2 linked regions of the Oryctolagus cuniculus genome follow. The protein of the gene in region 2 purifies or fractionates together with the protein of the main gene of each other region. This does not show direct contact. Links are inferred from orthologs where the notes say so. Each region holds a gene or a part of one and is shown on either strand. Other genes may lie near its edges.

Region 1 (3,742 bases), on a different chromosome or scaffold from region 2:
GCCGGGACTGGGCCAGGCCGAAGGGCCAGGAGCGCCCACTGCGTCTCCCACAGGGTGGCAGGAACCTGGGTACGTGGGCCGTCACCTGCTGCAAGCTGGACTGGACGGGGGCGGGGCGGCACTCGGGCTGGGATGCAGCTTGATCCACGGACCCACACACCTGCCCTGGAGGAGACTTTTCAGAAAACGGGGGGCTGGTTTTTGGGGTTCCCGCGCCTCTGCAGCGTGCGTCCCCTGTATGCAGGCCTCGGACCGGGCTATTCCACGGTGCCGGTCCAGCGTGGGTTTGGATCTCTTACGGCCAACACCTGGGCTTGGCTCACGCTGTGGGCCCCGCCGCTGCGAATTTGGGTTTTTCCCCTTTTTTTCCAGACTCAGTCAGCGGGGAGCGGGCACTTCCTGCCCACAGATTCTCCTCGGGAGGGAACGGTTCAGGATCAGGCCCAGAGGGGACTGGCCCAGCACGGAGCGGCCAGAGGGAACAGGCCCAGAGGCCTTGCAGCGGGCCTGTCTCAGTGCTGGGCATGGGCAGCCCCACCTGGCCCGAAGGCGGCTCTGCCCAGAGCCTCGGTGGCATTCTGGAACCCCAGGGCCCGGCAGACGACGCTGGCGTCCGTCAGGTCCCAGAGGTTGTCGCACACGGTCCCCCACTGGCCCCTGTAGAAGATCTCCACGCGGCCCTCGTTGGCTGCGTCCCCGTTGGCCAGCCGCATGTCCCCGTCCTTCTCGCCTGCGGAGAGGGCAAAGGTCAGCTGGACGCGGCGCCCACCCAGCAGCGCGGCGGTTGTAAGGGCTTCCCCGGTCAGGCTGGCCGGTCCCTCACGTCAAAGCGCCCTCCACCCTGGCTGGGTGACACCCGTGCAGACCCCGCCCCCAGCCCGCGAGGCTGACTTGTCTCCCTGGTCCGCGTGGCCGGAGCTGAGGACAGGGACAGGGACACGGACGAGGAACCGGTGCTCTCCAGCACTGGACAAGAGGGGCAGGACCCCAGAGAGGACTGGGTGGGGGCCCTCGAGGGCAGCCGAGCAGGGGCGTCCATGGGCTCCAGGACTGGCGAGGGGGAGGGGGAGGGAGGTGTCCAGGACCCTTGGAGGCCTGGCCTGTGTCCAGAGGCTGCTGGCCTCACGACCACCCCCGCCACCGGCCTATGTGCTTGCCCCCATCCCCACTGGGGACAGAGTTCCTGGGTCCCCTCCCCATCCCCCCAAAGCCAGAACCCGGGGTCCCCGGAAGACACAAGCCACCCTCATTGGGTACCGCCTGGCTTGAGGCAGGAGAGACCTGGCCAGCACCTCCCAGCTCTCCGGAGGAGGGGCCCACCCCGACCCCAACCCCGACCCTGACCCCGCGGGGCAGGGCGGCAGCAGGCGCGTGGACTTCGGCCCTGGGCACCTCCCGGGCTCAGCTCACCTCGAGTCCCGGCGAGCAGCAGCCACACCCAGAAGAGCCGTGGGGGGGCCATGGCCTCCCTGGAGCCCTGACCCTGCAGCAGAAGGAAGCGGCGTGAGCCCGCACCCCGACCCGTCCTCCACTCCGCTGCGGGGCACACAGGGACCCCCTCCCGCAACCCCCCCCCGAGATCTCCCCATGATGAACAAGAAGGCGACCTGTGCCATGGATGCCTGGGGGGGGCTGTGCCTGGGCTGCAGGCAGAGTGAGCCTGGGCCAGAGGCAGGGGCGAGGGAGGGGGAGGCGCAGCCGGGGGCCCAGGGCGCGGCAGAGCCCCAGAGGCACCCAAGGCGGGCAGAGGGGAAGGGAGGTGAGAGGCAGGGCAGGGGCTCCGACAGGAGTGAAATCCGGGCCCCAGAGAGGCTGGGCTCGGGTCGGGGAGGAGGGGGAGGGAGTCCCTGCCTGGCGGGTTCTCCCTGCAGCTCCGTGGGAGACGGGCGTGTCTGAGAGCCCCTTGGGGGGAGGCCAGAGGGGGACGACGTGGACTTCGGCTCCGGTCCCCAGGACACACAGGCTGGGAGAGGCCGTGGGGTCCTCCCCAGGGCACCTCCCACCCCCGTCCCCGCCCGCCCTGCTGCCCCCGGCAGAGCCAGCGTTTGCTTCTCTGGGACACCCGCGGTGGCCACTAGCAGCACTGGCTACAAGCGGGGGCCTGGACACCCGCCAGGCAGGCCCGGCTCCTCACTGCTGCGCGAGCGCTGGGACCCAGTGCAGCAGTCTGTGGGGGGCCCGGCGTGGCTGCCCGCACTACGTGGTCACCCAGGGCCCCTCGCACAGTAGCTGTCCTGGCCCCAACGACCGTGCAGGGGCTGCTGTCCAGGGAAGCCAAGGGCTCCGCGCGCCCTTCACGGGCAGGAGGGCCAGGGCCACCTGCTGTCCCTGCCCCACTTCCCAGGGAGCTGCAGGGCCGGCTTTGTTCCCTTGGGGACAGGAAGTCAGGGCCCCGGACATGGGGGCCACGCGAGGCCCTGGCACGTGGCCGCCGCCCTCCGTGCGGTGCTGTCGTGCAGGTGAGAACAAGGCCTTGGGGCCAGGCCCGGGCGGGGACGCGCAGGCCCAAGACAGGGCTGAGGGCTCAACGCTGGCCCCTCCTGCCTCGGCCGGGTCCCTGTGCAGGGAACAACCACACACAGAGGCCCTGCGGGCCCAGGCGCGGCGGGGGTGGTCCCTGGACTCGGGAGCCCGGGGCGCCCTGCTCCAGGCCCGGTGCCTGCAGTGTGGCCCACGCTGGCTGCCTGCGTAGACAGGGGCTTACCTGCCTGGCACAGGTGGCTGTGCGGGAGGCTCCCGCCTCTGCTGGAGGCCCAGCCTGCAGTGTGGAGGGGCGGCCCCAGGAAGTGCTCCAGGGAACAGGGACGACTTTCGATTCCCACAAACCACCTGACTGCAGCCTCCGCTGGGGTTGGCTGCAGCTCTGCTGGCCAGGCCCCCTCTTCCTTCCTGCTCTGGCTGTGGGGGTGGGGATGGCAGCCACCCAAGTTCTGACAACAAGACCTACAGCGAGGGGCAGGACCACAACACGAAGGCCAGCCTGGGACAGCGGAGCAGAGGCCCTGGGGCAGACGGCAGCGCTGTGTCCTGGCAGGGTTGGGCCCAGCACGTTGCTGGCTGGGTGGGCAGCCCACACCCCGCCAGGCTGCAGGGCACTGACCCCCGCAGGCAGTCGGGCAGGGGGCCCTGAGCCCTGGGAGACCAGGAAAGCGGCCGGCACGTGGCTGAGCTGGAGCTGCCCCAGTACCTGACACCAGGGCCTGGCCTTGTCCACGCTGGGCTGACCACCCACACTGCAGAGCGGTCACTCCCCTAACGGGAACACGAATGGCCCCGCCCAGCACACACCACCCCCCCCCGCCTCCATCCCCAGCTGCGAGGTCCCAGGGCGCCCTTGGCCGCAGGGATGGTGTCGGGGAGGGCTGTGCGCCCAGACAGCCCAGCGGGAGCAGCGTCCTCTCAGGGGATGGCGCCCTGAGCCACCACGCTGGGTGTGAGGTCCTGGGCCCAGCGGCCCAGTGACCCGATCAACATCACCTCTGGTTTCTTTTCTTAAAAAGATTTATTTATTTGAAAGGCAAAGAGGGAGAGACAGAGAGGGAGAGAGACAGAGGTCTTCCATCTATTGGTTCACTCCCCCAAACGACCACAATGGCCAGAGCTGAGCTGATCTAAAGCAGGAGCCAGGAGCATTCTCCGGTATCCTATGCGGGTGCAGGGGCCCAGGATTGGGCCATCTTCCACTGCTTTCCCAGGCCACAGCAGAGAGCTGGATCAGAAGTGGAGCAGCCGGGACTCGAAC
Region 2 (3,742 bases):
GCAGCCTTAAAAAAGCAACGTGTCAGGAAAGCAGGAGACCAGTCATTTGTGCCGCCTGAATGTCCCTTACCCGAAATGCTGGGGCCAGCAGTCTTTTTGACTTTGGGGTGATTTTTTTTTGGGGGGGGGAGGTTTGGGATAATACATAGGATTTACCAGGTGAGCATCCCTAATCCGAAAGTCTGAAAAATGAAATTCCGATACTGCATGACACTAGAAACATTTCAGATTGCACAGCATCATAGATTTTAGATTTTTGCATGAGGGTTGCAAAACATGTAATTTATCATTACGAAATGAGTAACTAATGAACGCACCAGGCAGTTGTCAGATAAAATAACCACCAAGCGGAAAAGGCTTCAATACAAATGTAGTAAAGGCAGCAACTCCTGCTGCTCCTTTGCTCGCTGAGCCAGAACAAATAAAACACAATAAGCTACTAAACACAAGTTTTTCAGTAAGTAGTAGTAAAACTCAAATTAGTGCCATAAACATCTGGCAATCCTAGCACTTCAGAACACATCAAAGCGAATATCACCGTTAATCTATTTTATGACATGTCATTCAAAGGGAATCCCCTCCGGGTCCCACTGACAGCCATCTTAGTTTAGACCCAATGCTAAATCAAAGACAGAGGACAGCGATTTCTGCAGAGAGAAGCACTGCGGTCTCTGGCGGGAGTGGAACTTTTATATCAACGAGAAGGAGTCTCAATTTAAAAAAAAAAAAAGTTAAATGCTGGGGCTCAGGGCTTTGGTGCCGCAGCTAGCACACAGGGTAGGACGCTGCACCCCGGAGCAGACCGCCTGGGTTTCAGTCCCGATGCTGCTCCCAGCTACTGTGCGCTGGGAGGCAGGTGCTGGCTTAAGTTGCTGGGTTCGTGCCACCCACATGGGAGACCTGGGTTCCACCCCAGCTCCCGGGTGCCCCGGGGCTGGCACTGAGGTCAGCGGACGGGAGCACTCTCTCTCTCCAATAGTGTCTAATTTTCAAAATGCTTAACTGTCGGGAAACATTCTAGCTCACAACAAGTGACTTCCAAAATCTGATGATGACAACGGCAACGAAGGAAAAAAAACTCTGCCGGCACCGGCAGAACCAAACACTGCTGTCCCAGCGCCAGCCCAGGACCAGCACCGCGACCGAGGAACGAGGCAAGCTGACCGCGCTAACGACAGCTGCCCGGCCACCGGGAGGCAGGGGCCGGCCGGGCCGAACGCACACGCAGCGCCGGCGGCGGCCGACACGCACCGGGCAGCGCGCCCCGCACCGCACAGGCACCGGCCGGGAGGCGGCGGGTGCGGATCGGCTACCAAGCCCCGGGGCCCGGCCGAGACCAAACACCGCGGGTTCCTAAGCTGGAGGTCACCGTGACGGCGGGCCCGCAGAACTCGCCAGGGTGCAAGCCCCGGCGCTGCCCCTGCTGAGGAGCCCTGCCCTGCAGTGCGCGGGTCTCCCCTCGGTCTCGGACGGTGCCCGCGCCCACGACCGCGTCCTCCCCTCGGCCCGTCCCCGCGCCCCCCGCAGCCCGAGCGCGCCTCCGGCACAGCGCGGGGTCCCCGCACGCCAGCAGCCGACGCCGCGGCGGAGGGGTCCCCGACCCAGCGACACGCGCGGCACAGAGCGGGGCGGGAGCTGCCCACAGCCGTTCGCTTCCCCCAACACAAAGCGAGTCCTCGGCCGCCCCGGAACCCCGCGAGAAAGCAGCGACCCGACGCGCGCCGGGCGCCGGAGCCGGCCGTCCCGCGGGCCTGACTTCGGAGCCCGCAGCTCCCGCCCCGGGCCCCCAGGACGCGGGAGCCCCTCGGGCGCATGCCGCCCGCGCCCACGCAAGTGCCCCCCACGCGCGGGGACTCCACGCACGCCCAGCCCTCAACGCTCCCCGCTCGGAAAACATGGCCGGTGAGGGTGGCGAGCGCGCCCCGCACAACTCCGCCGCCACGCTTCCCCCGCCCGCCCGCCCGCCCGCCCGGGGCCCGCGAGGAGCTACTCGCCAGCACGCGGCGGCCCGGGCCCCGCCGCGCCCCGCCACACGCCCGGCCCGCCCCGCTACCTTCGCTCCGGCCCAGAATCCGGCAGCACAAGTTCTGCAGCAGAACGTTCGGCGACTTCTGGTCCGGTGTCGCCATCCTCGCCTCGGCGGGGACCCCGCCCGCCTGCGCCCGCGGCTCCCCGCTTTCCCACAGCCTACGGCGCAGGGACCGCCAGCCCCGGGGCCGCCATTTTACCGGAACGCGCGAAACAGAGCCGCTTCCCAAAATGCCTCGCTCTTCCGGGAACCGGCCGGCGTGCGTCGGCCTAACAGTTCCCCGCGCGCCTGCCACGTTTTCCCCCCGGCAATCACCCGCGGGCCACAAGAGTTCCGGGCAACAGAAGGGTCCGCCCCAAGGGCGTCGATTGATGGGGGGGTGTGTGCCTGTCTGAGTAGCAACAGCAACCCCTGTCGTCCGTAATTCGGCGTGTTCTTTTTTTTAAATGGCATTTGTTTGATTCACACTCTCGATGAAACAAACGTATTTACATCAGTGCAATGGCTTCGTGACTTTTTTAAAAAATTATTTATTTATTTGAAAGGCAGAGTTACATAGAGACAGATCTTCCATCCTCCGATTCACTCCTCAGATAGCTGCAACGCCCAGGGCTGGGCCAGGGGGAAGCCAGCAGCCAGCAGCGTCTTCCAGGTCTCCCACGTGGGTGCAGGGCCCAAGGACTTGGCATCATCTGCTGCTTTCTCAGGCCACAGCAGAGAGCTGGGTTGGAAGTGGAACAGCCAGGACTCGAACCCCCAGCTACATGGGATGCCAGCGTCGCAGGCAGTGGTTTTACCTGCTAAGCCATAGCGCCGGCCTGGATTTGTGACTTTTACCATTTGGTGTGTCGGTTATCACTCACTGGTCCCTAACCTCGTGCCTGCTCTGTGCCTGGCGATACGGACTCACCAACCTTAAACCCCCGCGTTTTCTCCTCCCTGAAGTCCGCTTCCGTCTCATGAAGGGCGAGAGAACAGCAAGGGACACAGAACAACCTCCGACCCTGCCAGGTGCCAGGGCAGGGGACGGAGGGAAGGAGGGGCTTCCAGGGTGAGGGGCAAGGGTTCTCCCAGGCGGAGGGTGGGGCTGAGGCTGCATGACCAGCACACACACACGGTACACAGTGGGCACACACAGTACACAGGGAGCACACACAGTGAGCACACACAGTACACAGGGAGCACACACAGTACACAGGGAGCACACACACAGTACACAGTGAGCACACACACGGAGCACACACAGTACACATGGAGCACACACACAGGGAGCACACACAGGGAGCACACACAGTACACAGGGAGCACACAGTACACAGCACACACACAGTACACAGTGAGCACACACAGTACACACGGAGCACACACAGTACACATGGAGCACACACAGGGAGCACACACAGTACACAGGGAGCACACACAGTGAGCACACACAGTACACACAGCACACAGTGAGCACACACAGTACACAGGGAGCACACACAGTACACAGGGAGCACACACAGTACACAGGAAGCACACACAGGGAGCACACACAGTACACAGGGAGCACACAGTACACAGCACACACACAGTACACAGGGAGCACACACACTGAGCACACACAGTACACAGGGAGCACACACAGTACACAGGGAGCACACACAGTACACAGCACATACACAGTACACAGTGAGCACACACACACTGAGCACACACAGTACACAGCACATA

Evidence for each region. Proteins that work in one complex are often made in the same cells at the same time.
Region 1: the proteins of TUBGCP3 (region 2) and LGALS3BP purify together in Homo sapiens (affinity purification with mass spectrometry; 4 studies listed by BioGRID and IntAct, counting the BioPlex papers as one, with this or other methods). This does not show direct contact. The link is inferred for Oryctolagus cuniculus from reciprocal best matches to the Homo sapiens genes TUBGCP3 and LGALS3BP.

Annotation. Positions count from the first base shown.
Region 1 is NC_091448.1:2,763,970-2,767,711, reverse strand, and holds the start of LGALS3BP (galectin-3-binding protein), read right to left. Parts: upstream 2,859-3,742; 5' UTR 2,705-2,858; intron 1,484-2,704; 5' UTR 1,463-1,483; coding exon 1,411-1,462; intron 731-1,410; coding exon 539-730; intron 1-538.
Region 2 is NC_091440.1:1,168,320-1,172,061, reverse strand, and holds the start of TUBGCP3 (gamma-tubulin complex component 3), read right to left. Parts: upstream 2,291-3,742; 5' UTR 2,130-2,290; coding exon 2,054-2,129; intron 1-2,053. UniProt on the Homo sapiens protein: Component of the gamma-tubulin ring complex (gTuRC) which mediates microtubule nucleation.